Linked DNA regions of Sus scrofa. The protein of the gene in region 2 interacts with the protein of the main gene of each other region in a pairwise test. Links are inferred from orthologs where the notes say so. Each region holds a gene or a part of one and is shown on either strand. Other genes may lie near its edges.

Region 1 (5,570 bases), on a different chromosome or scaffold from region 2:
GAAAAGATTAGGAGTTCCCTTCACAGCTCAGCAGTTAAAGAACCTGGCTAGGATCCATGAGGATGTGGATTTGATCCCTGGCCTTCTCAGTGGGTTAAGGATCCAGCGTTGCCTTGAGCTGTGGCAGATGCGGCTCACATCCGCTCTGATTAGACCGCTAGCCTGGGAACTTACAGGGGTGTGCCCCCCCCTCGAAAAAAGCAAAAAAAGATAAAAAAATAAAAGACTCTCATTCCTTCCACCCGGTTTTCCTTTCTCCCCTTGGGTAACTGTTTTTGTTAGGTTTTGGTTTATCCTCCTACTTAAAAAACAAGTATAGGCAAAAAAGGTATATGTACATTTCCCTTTTCTTAGGTAAAATGTAGCATACTGTGGGCACTGCTGTCTACCTTGCTTTTTTCACTTATGTCCTAGACATCATCCTGTAATAATACATAGAGAGTCTTCATTTGCAAAGTGGGTAGAAGGCAAGAGGGCAGGCCAGGCTGAACTGCCTGGGGAGACAATATCCATGGTCCAGCATGATATATGCCAGGAGTGGGATTGCAGGGTCATTTGGTAGTTTTATAGTTTGTTTCTTTAAGGAACCTCCATACTGCTATTCATAGTAGATGCACCAGTTTACATTCCCACCAACAGTGTAAAGGGTCCCCTTTTCTCCAGCATTTATTGTTTGTAGACTTTTTGATGATGGCCACTCTGACTGGTGTGAGGTGGTACCTCATTGTAGCTTTGACTTGCATTTCTCTAATAATTAGTGATGTCAAGCATCTTTCCGTGGTTTTTGGCCATCGGCATCCCGTTTTTCAGATCCCACGATAATGCCCAGATGGGCCAAGCCCATACACACACCCAGGAGCTTCTGGGAATGAAGTGGAGGAGGAGACAGCTGCCCCAAAGTCAGTTGTCCCGTCCCCTGTATCTGCATCTCAACCAGGATGCAGCTGGATGCTTTCTCTGTGCAGTTTTCAACCATCCCCTAGTGACTTACATTTGAGTTGTTTGCAGTCTTGTCCTGTTACAAAAGTGCTACAATAAATAGTCTTGTGTGGAGTTTTGTCGTGTATTTGAAACTTTCTTTTCAACCTAGGCATGTTGGGGGGAAAGGGGGACTGAAAGACCAAAGGAAAATTTAAAGCGGGATCAGAGGCAACAGGCCTGGATTAGGGAGCATGAAGTATGCAAAGGGCTCCTGGAAGTCTAGCTTCAACCCTACATACCAGCTACAGCGCATCCCAAAGCGAGGGGGTAACGGGGAGGAGACCGAGAGGAAGGCAAAAGAACTCTAGGGACTCAGGGTGATCTGGGTGCCCGGAAAAAGAAGCCGGAAAAAGGGTAAGACCTGCCCTGGAAAGGAGGTGTGGAAGGTGTAGATGCGGCTGCTTGTGATGGAGTCGTAGAAGACGACTTCTCCGCCCTCGTGATTCACGTGGATCCCCACTTTCCTGGGACGGACTGAGAGTTCCTCCCGGGTGCCACCCTCGGTGAGCGCCTGGCAGTCGAAACCCACAATGCGCAGCACCCAGAAGCCAGTCAAGGGTTCGATCATCAGGGGGCCCCTCCGCGTTACCAGCTCCGAGGCCACGCCCACCAAGCAGCCCCCGCCTTCAGGCCCTTCAAGCTCCGCCTCCCAGGTCTGGCAGCCCGAGGAGAGGCCTGGCAAGCCCAGAACACAGCGGAATGGATGGAAGCGAGCAGGGTCAGTGGGTTCAGCACAGCGACTTTGAGGAACAGGGTCCAGCGTCACTGTCTTCAGATCCTGGGAAATGATGAGGTCCGGATGAGCCGAGGCCGCATCCAGGGTCACTGGGGCTGCGGGAAGATGAGGAGGGTGGTAGCCTCTTTCCGGGGTGCTAGCCCCAGGTCAAGTCCTCCAGACCCCTACCTCTTAGTTTCCCCTGAGGATGACTTTCTCTTCAAAGTCAAGGTCCTCTTTGTCCCCAGAGAAGTCCTAGCCCCTTCCCCCTCCTTGAAGTTAATCCTTAAATTTCATCATGTGCTGCTCTGTGGGTGCTCTCCACTGCTGGTCACAAGGCATCATTTCTACACCCAAAGCAAGACTATTTCCTCTTCCTTCCCCATCTCCTGTGGTCCTCATATCCAGAACAAGATCTGAACTTATATAAAAGATGTCAAGGCTCAGACTGTGCTGGAGTAATTTTCTAAAGTGCAGCCCCTCAAAGACAGGGATGAATGGAGGGGTGGGGTACGGAGGGAGAAAGTTAGCTCTCATCTCACCACACAGGCACAATTTTCATTGAATTTGGACATTGAGTTATCATTGAGTTATAGGTTATCAAGGCCAGAAGTCCTCCATCCACCCCCCACCCCCCCGCAATGGCTTGAATAGCCGTGGTTCCAGACTTTGCCACGGACTTAGGAACGAGAGACTCATGGTATCTCCTGATTTGCTATCTAATCTCACACCCTTGTACTGTAATATTACTTAGTTTTCCCTTGCTGGAAGGAGGGTGGGGATTGGGAGGGATGGAGGATGTAGGAATGTGGGGAAGAGGAGAAAGAGTGTCTAGGTACATGGGGATGAGTAAGGTAGATTGTGACCTAAGCAGTTCTTACTGGTCTCTTAGATTCCAATCTGACTGAACTGATGCCTAGGTAAATAATTTAAATTAAAAAAAAAAAAAAAAAAAAAGACCTGAGCAATCAACTGTAGTGACACTCTTCATCCACAAGGGGCACCAGAGCCAAAGCAATAAGCAGAAGCCACGCGCTGACGCTACCCGATTGCCCTTTTTCTGCTCAAGTACACCCGCTCCCTTCTCCAAGTGTCACCACCATCACCCGTCTCTGTTCTCAGTAGCCCGGGGCCTCTCTCCCACCTTCCACTCCCTCAGCCCCACTCCACGCAGTCAGGGACTCTTGATTGCTCTCAGCCACTCACTCAGCGCCGCCTTGAGCTCTTCAGTCCACGCAGCTCCAGGGCTTCCCGGGTCTTCAGAGCTGTCTTCGTTTGAATAGAAAACAAATGAGGCAATAGAGGCCCGGCTTCGGCTCCGGAACAGGTTGGGCAGTGAAGGTGATAGTTTGAGCTTTGGCGGTAGTGGTTTAGCGTTTCTGTCATCTTTAAGGAGAAGGAGAGGAGAAAAAAAGAGGTCGATGGGAGCAAGGCAGCAATCATTGTCCATGGCCTGAAGCCACGGACTAACAGAAATTTTTGAGCTTGTCTTACCTCAATGTTTAAGGGTACAGCTTGTTAAAATCCCTCTGCATATAAACTGCCTTTACTTATTAAGTTCATTTTAGTTATCTTTTCCCTCTCTTTAATTGCATACTCTCCAAGCTTCATGTAGCCTATGTAATATATCACGAGCATTAACCAGCGATAGATCAAACCTCTGACATACGGGTCACTTTTTTGGTCTTTTTAAGGCCACTCCCAAGGCATATATGGAGGTTCTCAGACTAGGGGTCAAATCAGAGCTACAGCTGCTGGCCTGCACCACAGCCACCCAACACCAACGTGGGATCCAAGCCGAAGTTGCAACCTATGCCACAGCTCACAGCAACACTGGATCCTTAACCCACCGGGCAAGGTCAGAGATCGAACCTGCATCCTCTTGGATGCTAGTCAGATTCGTTTCTACTGAGCCACGTTGGGAACTCCTGACATATGGGTTACTTTGGTAGTGGGGGCTTAAGTTGCTTTTTAGGAACTTGGTGTCAGCTCTTGTCCTGTTCCGGCTGGCTAAGGCAGGTTGGGACCAGCAGTGCTAAAACTGGGCTTGTGCAGGAGTCTGATGAACAACTTTTCGCATCAGAGGTTCAAAATGATACCCTCAGATTATGCTAAGCAGCTTCATTTTTGAAAGTGTATCCACAAAGAAGACTGTAACCTGGATCCACCTGCCCAAACAGAGGGGAAGGGGACTCCGCCTTTCCCATGCCTCAGGCCACCTTGTTTCATTATCTCAGAAGAAAATTGAGGCTCTTTCCTTCAAGGAGTGGGTCTCCCACCTCCTCCCTTGGCGGCTTTGTGAATAAACCTTCTCTGCTTCAAACCTCAGCATCTCAGTATTTGGCTTGCTGCGCATCAGGCAAACAAACCTGGTTTGGTAACAAAAGTACACCCGAACAAGTTAGGGGTAAACTGATTGAATGGCACAGTATTTCCTGGGGCGGGGGTGTCCCACTCTGGGAAGGGGGAGGGGAGATGGATGAAATGCCTGCTATCTCCACCCCCATATGCCCATGCTGTCCTAGCTCTTAGCATCTGAAACCTTCAAGAACATTCAACTCCACTGCCCTTCTTCCTCTCCCAACTCCCAGGCCCTCTTAACAGTCTCTCTAAGTCCCTCTTTTCTTTTTATTTCTTTTTAGGGCCGCATCTGCGGCATTTGGGGTCGAATCAGAGCTGCCTACATCACAGCCACAGCAATGCCAGATCCAAGCCTAATCTGAGACCTACACCACAGCTCACAGCAATGCTGGATCCCCTGATCGAGGCCAGGGATTGAATCCGCATCCTCATGGATACTAGTCAGTTTGTTACCCGCTGAACCACAATGGGAACTCCCTCTAAACCTCTTTTTCTGCTCTGTCCCTATACCCCTCCAACCCAGGCTGGAACTGAGAGCAGCTCTTCATCCCCACCTAACTCCAGTCAGGGAGGGTGATGCTGTGTGTTGGGAAGTCCTTGTACAGTTGCTCACCATCCTTCCTATGCGGTGTCAGTTCAGTGCATTCCTATCTGTGCGTTTGGACTCCAGCTTTCCTGACTACACCACCTGAAGCCACCAGTGCTCAGAGGCTGGGCTCCTACCTGAAGGGCTTACTCAGGCTCCAAAGTTTCCATCGGTGTAGGATTGCTTTTCTCTAACAGGTACCCTAGGAATGGGGAGAGAAAACCAACTTTGGTCTCGATAACCAGAAACTTGCAAAATCCAAAACCAAACACCTGCCGCCATCAATAAGAACACGCATCAGTGGTTCTCAGTGGAGACTGCCCCCTTCCCCCCCCCCGTCCCCACCCATGGGGAAGTGTGGGAACCATTCAGATGGTCCTAGTAATGGCAGAGGGTGGGAGTGGGGGGGGCGATTCCCTACTGGCCTAGAGTGTTTCCGGGGGCCTGGACGGGACACACTCCACAGCACACCAGGCAGAGAGCACAGTGGGGACTTAACCTCTGCAAACACCAATAGCTCCTGTCATGGAGAACTGGGGGAGGAAGAGGACCGCGCTCCCTGGCTTTGGAAGGCATTATGTGGTTTCTGGTGTTGGCAAAATGTGTTCCAAGATTGTCTTTTTCAATTAGTAGTCACATGACTTGGGTAACTTAGCGCAGCTCCCTGGACTGGCAGGGAACTTACTGTAAATTGCTGATAATGACACGCATCCTTGGAGAAGAGCTGTGGGATTTTTGAACTGTTAGCTGTGGGGTGCTTAGCACACGTGGGCCTTTAAGAAAGGGTACTTCTAGTGTTACCTCTCGTGGGGCAGAGCCATCTCTGATGACTTTGGCCTCGGCTGCTGTTACAGTGGGGCTCCATCCCCTGAGCTGTCCCAGCCTTACAACCAGAAACACAGCCTACGGCTGGGGGCAGCGAATACT
Region 2 (5,190 bases):
TATAAAGAAATTTATACTTAAGCAAATATATAGGGGAAAAGAACAGCAACTTGTATTTAGTATGCAATAATATCAACTACAAGAGTTTACTATTGATTAGGAAAGCCTTACAAGTTTTTGGAAGAACCTTCACATCTTAACATTACAACATATTTAATAATGGTTCTTTTATTGCTTCTAAGATTAATGAGAAGTCAAATGAAATTATGCTGAATTTATGGTTCAAAACTTGTTTCCAAACACTTAACCATTATAATTTCAGATAAATAACACTTGAAAAAAGCAAACCTTTTATAATATGACTTTCAATATACAACCTTACTTTAATTCATTCTAATTCCATTACATTCTTGTTATTTCGCATTGGTCCTGAATATTTAGTAACTGTATTTCTATGTTTAGAACTGTCTACACAAATCCATTTCACCCTTCATAAAATGGTCACATTAGTGTTTGAGCTTGCAAAACTAATAATTTTCAAACTTTTGAACTTAGAATGAAATGTAACTTTAATACGTATAGAAAGTCTGACTATGTACAAGAGAAGGTAAAGTTTTCAATTCTCAATATTATCAGAAACATCATAAAGAAAGCTAGATTTATAACACACTTCTATTCCTATGTGCATTTGAAGTATGTACAGTAAAACACCCAACACAGCTTTCATGTGTCAAATAGGGGGAAATGCAAGCAAGGGTGACTTTTAAAGTAACCAATAAAGCAATCTCCATAAAGCCAAAATTAGGCTTAAAAAAACTGCAAACAGGTGATTTCATCCTTGCAAGTTACCAAAGAAAAATTTCATCAGTTTAAAAATAGAAAGATGTTAAATTCACTGAAAAACTAAGTTGTGTTCTTTCATTAAATCTGGAAATACTGCAACATCGAGTACTTACTGTTTTTGTAAAAGAAAGAAAACTGGCAGCTCCATTTTTACATTATTATTTACTTACATAGGAAAGTTTTAAGAGTGAAGATCTGTGACAGAACATTCCAAATGGACATCCTAAAAATGGAGCAAGGGATACTATCCCTCTGCATATTTCCCCACCAAATAAAGAAAAATTTACTATTAGAATATTAGCTGTGGGTGGTTAAGAAGGAAAAAATAGATATGGTGTCCCAGTCTATTGACAAGGACAAAAAGGCTCTGAATAGGTCACCATCTTCAATTCTGGATAAAACGCATATTTAAGAATTCTCAAATGCTTAAAATGGTGGTCTTTTCAGCTACCCATCCTAAGAAGTCAAGTACAAGCATGCAAGTAAATTCACAGGCACAGAGGATCCATGTTAAAAAACAGTTAAGGTAGCTGTGATGCAACACCAACAATTTGAATGGCCCTGACACACTCAAAATATTATCTTAATTATTCAATGAAATCCTGAAGCAAATTCTTGCTTAGTCTTGGTACACTGCTAAACACTAAAGTAGCATGTTTTTTCCATGGTTTTAGCTTAGCTCAAATAATTTTTACACTATTAAGTAAGAAAAAAAGTATTTCCCCTTTTTAAATTTACACAGACGTTTAATTAGCTTTATTTACAGAGCATGAAATTTTTTTTTCAGTCTCCAATGGTGCCTAGATAACATCATTAGGCAAGAATGCCAGTTTAAAAGATATCTATGCAGAATCCTAAAAATAACAGATATTGATGCTCCTCAAGAAGGGGCAAGCTTGACTATATCAGCAGCTCTATGTCTCAGTTACTCAGAAGCAATTCTGTTGCAGTCTCTACATCCCATGATTTTGAAGACAAGGCCACTATTACCGCATTCTGTAGAAAGGAAAAGGGGACAAAAAAAAAAAAAAATCAAATTTCAAGAAAATACTTTTAAAGTACTGCATCACTCACTGTCTTTCGATTGAGAAATCACACTTGTTTTTTTCATTTTTAAGTTGCCTTGTACTTACAGTGCATAAAAACCTTCTAAAATCAATGACAGGAATGAGCAAAAGGAAAAGAAACGTCACTACTTTTATTAACAGAAAGTTAGTTTATCAAAATTAGATTTAGAGGTTTTTTCTTTTTAAAGAGGTGCACCCAAGTCATATGGAAGTTCTCAGGCTATGGGTCGAATAGGAGCTACAGCTGCTGGCCTACACCACAGCCACAGCAATGCTGGATCCTTAGCCCACTGAGTGAGGCCAGGGATTAAAACTGCACCTTCATGGATACTAGTTGGATTTGTTTCCACCGCGCCACAATGGAAACTCCAGATTATTTTTGAGACACTTTTTTTGTCAGCCAAGGATTTGCAGCAATAAGTTAAAATTAAGGAATGTATAAAAATTAACATGCGTTTATGGTACTTACCCTATCAAAGCCCATAGCACATAAGTTTTCTATTTTTTTGGTGTATTCTGGACTAGAAACTGGTGCTCCAGCATACACATGTGCCCAAAGTCGAGCTGTTTGTTTGAACATTTCAGGATTTTGTTTGTACTACATGAGAAAAAAAAATTGATTGACATGATAATACAGTTATAATATTAAATATATAGTAGCTCATCTCTTACGCCTAAAAACCTGATTTTTCAAAATAAAATGTAAATTAATAGACATTTAAAATATGAGTGATTCATGTTCCATTGCAAATAAACTGTCACTCAAGAAAAGACTGATCTGAAACTGTGATTCACAAGTTGCATCAGTGGAAGAAAAACAAAGACAATTTTTGTCCAATTTCAACAAAGGAGCAGAAAACTAATACTTAAATGGAGTAATTAGAGATGTCTCCGATCACTTTGTGCTGGCAAACATACAACTAACCAGAATTACTAGCTTCTAAAATTACGTGGAATTAACTAATAAATGTGACCAACTTTTGTTTTAATCACAGTTCAGGCTAGGACAGAACTAGGCTTTGCTGTTTGTTGTACAGTGACTCAAGAAAATCTCATATGCAAAATCCTAACTTATAGCACATGTTTTGAGATGTTTATGAACTCATCATAGAGTACTTTTTAAAAGCTAAGACTTATTATATGCATTGGAAAGAGGTAAATTTATTCTCAAATATTCTGGGACCACCATTTCTTAATAAAGCAAAGTATAAATTTAAAATAACTGTTCAATTCACTTTAATAGTTCTTTTTCAGGAGTTCCCGTCGTGGCGCAGTGGTTAACGAATCCGACTAGGAACCATGAGGTTGCGGGTTCGGTCCCTGCCCTTGCTCAGTGGGTTAACGATCCAGCGTTGCCTTGAGCTGTGGTGTAGGTTGCAGATGTGTCTCGGATCCCGCGTTGCTGTGGTTCTGGCGTAGGCTGGTGGCTCCAGCTCCGATTCAACCCCTAGCCTGGGAACCTCCATATGCCGCGGGAGCGGCCCAAGAAATAGCAACAACAACAACAACAAAAAGACCAAAAAAAAAAAAAAAAGTTCTTTTTCAGATGTTTTATATGCACTGAATATTATTATATATTAAAAATTAAAATATTTTATATTATTATATAAAATATTATTATATATTAAAATGATAAATCCAGTCTCTACCATTATTAAAAAAGAAATAAGTCAAATTATTGAATACAGCTAGGAAAAAACTTTGAGTCGAACCCCAACCTGCGAAGCTCAGAACTTAACAAGAAAATGAAGCTAGGGCTGAAGTCATTCTTCCATCAAAAAATGAATGAATAACATGTTAAACTGTAATTCTAAGCACTCAAAAACAAGTAATAGCAGAACAGATGAACAAAGATATACATAAAACAGAGAGTGAACAGCTTTTCAAAGGAAAGGAAGAAGTTTCTAAGAGGAAAGCTCTCCTCAGGCAGAGGAAACACGGCAGATCGGGTGAAATGACATGTAGGGATGAACACCATCTTGAACAGCATGAGTTTCAGGTACAAGAAAAATTCAGGAGGTGAAACTGGGTTTACAGATAATTTAAATCATGGAGGAACTCTTCAAACTAAACAATTTAGACTTACCAAGTAGGTAACAGTAGAGCTACTAATAGGTTTTTAGTAATAAAGAGAAATAAGATTTACACTTTATAAAGCTAACTGCTGTTAGTATAGAAGATGAAGGAAAGAAGAGGCTGAGGTAGGGAACTCCATCAGAGCAAATGAGAAATTTTTTTTTTTCTTTTTAGGGCCGCACCCACAGCATATCGAAGTTCCCAGGACAGGAGTCAAATCGGAGCCACAACTGCTAACCTACACCACCACCACAGCAATGCCAGATCCAAGCCACACCCACAAGCTTGGGGCAACACTGGTTCCTGAACCTACAGAATAAAGCCAGGGACTCAACCTGCATCCTCATGGGTACTAGTTAGGTTCTTAACCTGCTAAGCCACAATGGGAACTCCTTTAAAACATGTGAACTAAAGAAATCAGAGTAGTAGTATGACAGATACTGGAATACAAGAGAAAAGAAACTGAGAAGTACTCCAAGTCTATGACTTGGACATATAACTAAACTGATTATACTACATAAGGATGGACACGTTTATAGAGTTTAAGACTCTCCACTGAGGGAGTTCCCATCGTGGCTTCAGTGGTTAACAAATCTGACTAGGAACCATGAGGTTGTGGGTTCCATCCCTGGCCTCCTTCAGTGGGTTAAGGATCCGGCATTGCCATGAGCTGTGGTGTAGGCCACAGATGCGGCTTGGATCCTGCGTTGCTGTGGCTCTGGCGTAGGTCAGTGGCTACAGCTCCGATTAGACCCCTAGCCTGGGCACCTCCATATGCTGCGGGAGCAGCCCTAGAAAAGGCAAAAAGACAAAAAAATTCTAAAAAATTAGGAAAAAAAAAAGATTCTCCATTCAGTTTTAGTAATGTTATATACTAAGGTATCCATGGAACATTTATATAGAGCTATTCAGTTTCAAACATGCTCTTGGGCTCAGGAGAGAGGTCAAGCTTGAACATTACATCAACATAGAGGTAGGGGGTAACATCAATATGGATGTGATCATCCAAGTAAGAGTACATAGTGGAAACTAAAAGAAGCAATATAAGAACAGGGAATGCATATTTATTTATTTATTTTTTGGTCTTTTTTTGTTGTTGTTGTTATTGTTGTTGTTGTTGTTGTTGCTATTTCTTGGGCCGCTCCCGCGGCATATGGAGGTTCCCAGGCTAGGGGTTGAATCGGAGCTGGAGCCACCGGCCTACGCCAGAGCCACAGCAACGCGGGATCCAAGACGCGTCTGCAACCTACACCACAGCTCACGG
Region 3 (5,004 bases), on a different chromosome or scaffold from region 2:
AATAAAATGCATAGATCATCATATGCACAAAAAAATCTCCTGGGGAAAACTGGATTACAGGAGAGTTCCTTTATATTGGTCTAGAACACCTGGGTTACACAGGGCTTCAGATGGTAAGAATTGATTCCTGTTGTCTTAAATCCTTGTGATGGGCCACATTATGATAGAATCCTGTGGTACTTTTGTTTCTCCTTGAACTTTAGTCCTTTAGTGACAGTGATCTTTCCGATAGAATAATTACAGTTAGGGAAAATATGAAATCTGAAGAGTTAAATTTTAGTTTGATAGAAATATGGCTTAGGGTTCTTGGGAATATACTCTTAAGGACGTCCGTAGACTGATCTTTTGTCATCCCCAAGAAAATGGCCTACCGTATCCCAGCAAAGGTAGATTCCTGGGAAAAGCTGCTAGTTTATCTTTCATTCACCCTGACACATAGTTAACATTGTTGATCATTTCTTCCAGATGGCATTTATTTCATAAATAGTGTTTATTGGTGTGCTGATGAATGCTTCAGCAACACTGGTGAACTTTAGGGTACGAGGCATTCTTTACCTGTTGACTCTATCCCTCACCTCCACTGTTGTGTGAGTCTCTCTGGTGCTTTTGATCTTTATTTTCTTGACTCTCCTTCACCTTTGCAAATTATACTGGTTTATATTGTAGAATGGAAGTAGAATGATTTACTGTGTCTAAATACTGGACTCAGAACTTTTATGAGAGGATGGCCCTCCATTTCTCTTCTACTTTCTCACTTTTGAAGGGGGCATGGATCAGTAGGAAACAAGATTAATTCCTAGCTGGTGTTAACTTTCCATGAAGATGGATGATGAAGAGGAGGTGGATGGTGGGATGGCAGCAGACCCTTCCCCTTGTCGCCCCTTTCATTCCCCAAATTACTCCTAGAGCAGGTAACCGTTCATCATTAGGAGGAATTAATCAAAGTCAGTACCCTGGTGATCCTTTGGATCACATGTAACTCCCTGGAGCACATGTAACAGCTGACTCAGAATGAGTAGGGGAGGTGGGGGAGAAAGTCCAGTCAAAACTGATTTTATTGCACTTAAGCTCCTTCTTGTTTATGGTCCAGTTTCTATTTTAGCATTTATTCCACGTAGTCCATCCAAGTATGATTTTTAACATTTTTTTTTTTTATTTTTTTTTATTTTTTTGTCTTTTTGTCTGTTGTTGTTGTTGTTGCTATTTCTTGGGCCGCTCCCGCGGCATATGGAGGTTCCCAGGCCAGGGGTTGAATCGGAGCTGTAGCCACCGGCCTACACCAGAGCCACAGCAACGCGGGATCCGAGCCGCGTCTGCAACCTACACCACAGCTCACGGCAACGCCGGATCATTAACCCACTGAGCAAGGGCAGGGACCGAACCCGCGACCTCATGGTTCCTAGTCGGATTCGTCAACCACTGCGCCACGACGGGAACTCCCTTTAACATTTTTTAGAGAAAAGGAATTCTAAATGTGCTCTGGAACCTTTTGAGAAGAGTACAACTCACGTATTTGTGTCAATTTATGTTTTTTTTTTAAAAGCCTTCTTTATTTCCCTGTATTCTCTTGCTCACAGTAAATTTTGCATGAACGCTAAAGTATTGCAGGCACGTAAACAGTATTTATATACAAGTTGTAATTGTTTTTCTCCTGCCTCCTTTTATTTTTACATTTTTTTATTACAGAAATGAGCCGTCAGACTGCAACAGCATTACCTACTGGAACCTCAAAGTGTACACCGTCCCAGAGGGTGCCTGCGCTGACTGGCACAACCGCGTCCAACAATGACTTGGCGAGTCTTTTTGAGTGTCCGGTCTGCTTTGACTATGTGTTACCACCCATTCTTCAGTGTCAGAGTGGCCATCTTGTTTGTAGCAACTGTCGCCCAAAGCTCACATGTTGTCCAACTTGCCGGGGCCCGTTGGGATCCATTCGCAACTTGGCTATGGAGAAAGTGGCCAATTCAGTACTTTTCCCTTGTAAATATGCCTCTTCTGGATGTGAAATAACTCTGCCGCACACAGAAAAAGCAGACCATGAAGAGCTCTGTGAGTTTAGGCCTTATTCCTGTCCGTGCCCTGGTGCTTCCTGTAAATGGCAAGGCTCTTTGGATGCTGTAATGCCGCATCTGATGCATCAGCATAAGTCCATTACAACCCTACAGGGAGAGGATATAGTTTTCCTTGCTACAGACATTAATCTTCCTGGTGCTGTTGACTGGGTGATGATGCAGTCCTGTTTTGGCTTTCACTTCATGTTAGTTTTGGAGAAACAGGAAAAATACGATGGTCACCAGCAATTCTTTGCAATTGTACAGCTGATAGGAACACGCAAGCAAGCTGAAAATTTTGCTTATCGACTTGAGCTAAATGGTCATAGGCGGCGATTGACTTGGGAAGCCACTCCTCGATCTATTCATGAGGGAATTGCAACAGCCATTATGAATAGTGACTGCTTAGTCTTTGACACCAGCATTGCACAGCTTTTTGCAGAAAATGGCAATTTAGGCATCAATGTAACTATTTCCATGTGTTGAAATGGCAATCAAACATCTTCTGGCCAGTGTTTAAAACCGTTGCATTCAGTTTCACAGAGAATAAGGCACCCATCTGCCTACCAAGCTGAAACTTTTGGTAGGTGGAGGCCAAACACATGAAGGTAAATAAAAGGAAAGGCTGTTAAATACAGGAAACAGTTGCATGTAGTAACACTAATATATTTAAAAATAAGTCAACAGTAAACCACTGAAAAAATATATATATATACACCCAAGATGGGCATCTTTTGTATTAAGAAAGGAAGCATTGTAAAATAATTCTGGGAATTTGTGTTTGTTGTAGATTGAGTGTACTGTTGGAAAATACTGAGTTGTGTTTTTTTTTTTTTGCGCGCGCATGCGCGAGCGTATGTGTGTGTGTGAGAGAGAGAGAGAGAGAGAGAGAGAGAGAGAGAGAGAGAGAGAATGAGTGTGTCTGTGAGTTTTTTTTTTTTTTTTTTTTTTCCTTTAACTGACAAGCCATGTTGAGTGGTCTTGGACCACTGCTTTTCCCCTATGTGAGTCAATACATAGTGCTGCTGTGTGTGTATATTTTTGTGTGTGTATTTGCTAATTTTTATTAATTCTAGTTTTTCATTAAATAAATTTGACTTTCTTTTCTGTAATTCAGGTTTTTCCTCACTTTTTTTTGGTACCTTTTTAAAGTTAGTGTCTTTTTGATATGCATAATTGTTTATGGTAAAGTTTATACATACATATGTGTTCAATACATATTTTCCCCCATTAATCAGTTCATTAGAAATATTTTAAATTCAACCATTTTGTGAAGATATGAGCTCCAGAAAGGAAAGGTGACACCTGAAGAATTATCAGAAGCTATTTAAAGCAACTGTAAGATGGTTTTTCTCTCTTTTTCTCCAGTTGAGTCATACCTTCAAACTACTCTTTGAAAGGTTAGGGAATACTGATTTTTTTAAATACTGGAAGAAAAATCAGGCTCACCCCCTCCCCCCCAAATATCTTGGACAAATCACATATGTTTAAAATTCGTTCTTGTATTTATTGGTTTTGCAAAAGAAGGCATCGTCTTACACAGTATTTGTAATTAAAAGCAAATCATTTGTTTTAAAAAAAAGGCAGTTTGCAAAAAAAAATGTTTTTGGTCTTTTATAATTCTCATTAAAAGAATATCTGGCAAATTAAAAAACTCTTATGTGTCTGCTTTTAGCTCTATTAGAGTTTGATTAAAATCCAAAGTTATTTTCCTGTTCAAAGCAATGTGCTGTATTTTGAAGTTTGGTAGATAAGAGATCTGTTTTAAAGTCCAGCCAAAACAAAGGGTATATGGCCTCTGTACCACATGGAGTCTTATTTTTTTCCTTCCCCTTGCTTACATTTTGATTCTCAGAACTCAGTTAGGAGGCTGGTTAGTTAAATTGCTATCACTTTTTCCCCCTTTAACAACACCAAGAAAAAAATTATTTCATGCTGTAGTGGTTGTGTGCCTGGGCTCTGCAGCCAGCCTTCCAGGGAGCTATGTGCTTATGCTAACTAGACCTCACTTGGGCTCCAGTTGCCTAGTGTATAGAATGGGGTTGATTATGGTAGCTACTGCTCAGGGTTCATTGGGGGTGGATGCAAGTTACCTAGAAGAGTGCTCTGCATGTAATAAGCACCCAGCAAATGTTAGCTGCCATTATTATACCTGTAACTAGCACCAAAGAGTTAACTATTGCTCGTTACCCTGAAGCACCTAGTAAGACTCTGAAATTGCCTTCTGACTGGCCAGAGATCATTTTATTTCGTGTGGTTTTTATGGGTACCCTAAACATAGAAAGTCAGTTAAAACTAATTTGGACTTCCCCCTTACCCTGCTACCAATTCTGGATAACACGGTTTACTTCTGTTAACCATTTTCAGGAAAGAAGTTTGTTAGTTTCTTTTCTTTTCCTTAATGCAGGCATTATTTTTGGAATTGGTTATAATTTGTGTTTGCATGGCTATTTTTGTGGTGAAAGGAACAGGTCAACCACCAGTATATGTCCAGGTCTATTGCTGTTAACACGTGTTTTTTAGAAAAGCAGTTTTTCCTCATTTAATATACTGAATATTTTTTGTGGAGGTATACCATTTTTAAAATACAAAATGTTTGGTTAAAAGTGTAGGGTATTCAGTATGTGTTCAGCACTATGTATGTTCAGTATATAGACTCTGGCACACAGAATAGTTGGTAATCTTACTCAGAGATTACTATGAACATTTTCATTTTTCTAGTCCTTTATGTGTACTCACGTGTTGATACACATTTATTTTGAAATCATAGAATGTGGGATCATGTGATTATTTAACTCCCTTACACTCCCACACATAACATGATCATCTAAGCATTTCACCACTTTAATAATTTTGGAAAAGTATCATTTTGGATAACTTTGAGGATTGACTATAATTGTAGCCAGTTTCCCAATATTGGATATTTGCTTTGTTCGATTTGTCCAGTTAATTT

What was found. The genes of interacting proteins can lie anywhere in the genome.
Region 1: the proteins of UBE2K (region 2) and TRIM31 interact in binary tests that used the Homo sapiens proteins (3 or more experiments, as listed by UniProt). The link is inferred for Sus scrofa from reciprocal best matches to the Homo sapiens genes UBE2K and TRIM31.
Region 3: the proteins of UBE2K (region 2) and SIAH1 interact in binary tests that used the Homo sapiens proteins (3 or more experiments, as listed by UniProt). The link is inferred for Sus scrofa from reciprocal best matches to the Homo sapiens genes UBE2K and SIAH1.

What each region holds. Positions count from the first base shown.
Region 1 is NC_010449.5:22,667,142-22,672,711, forward strand, and holds part of TRIM31 (E3 ubiquitin-protein ligase TRIM31), read right to left. Parts: intron 4,846-5,570; coding exon 4,794-4,845; intron 4,792-4,793; coding exon of another isoform or gene 4,781-4,791; intron 3,703-4,780; coding exon 3,641-3,702; intron 3,083-3,640; coding exon 2,903-3,082; intron 1,813-2,902; coding exon 1,286-1,812; 3' UTR 1-1,285.
Region 2 is NC_010450.4:30,955,829-30,961,018, reverse strand, and holds the end of UBE2K (ubiquitin-conjugating enzyme E2 K), read right to left. Parts: intron 2,449-5,190; coding exon 2,320-2,448; intron 1,780-2,319; coding exon 1,705-1,779; downstream 1-1,704. UniProt on the Homo sapiens protein: Accepts ubiquitin from the E1 complex and catalyzes its covalent attachment to other proteins. In vitro, in the presence or in the absence of BRCA1-BARD1 E3 ubiquitin-protein ligase complex, catalyzes the synthesis of 'Lys-48'-linked polyubiquitin chains.
Region 3 is NC_010448.4:36,362,080-36,367,083, forward strand, and holds the end of SIAH1 (E3 ubiquitin-protein ligase SIAH1), read left to right. Parts: intron 1-763; exon of another isoform or gene 764-826; coding exon of another isoform or gene 827-911; intron 912-1,686; coding exon 1,687-2,537; 3' UTR 2,538-3,705; downstream 3,706-5,004. UniProt on the Homo sapiens protein: E3 ubiquitin-protein ligase that mediates ubiquitination and subsequent proteasomal degradation of target proteins.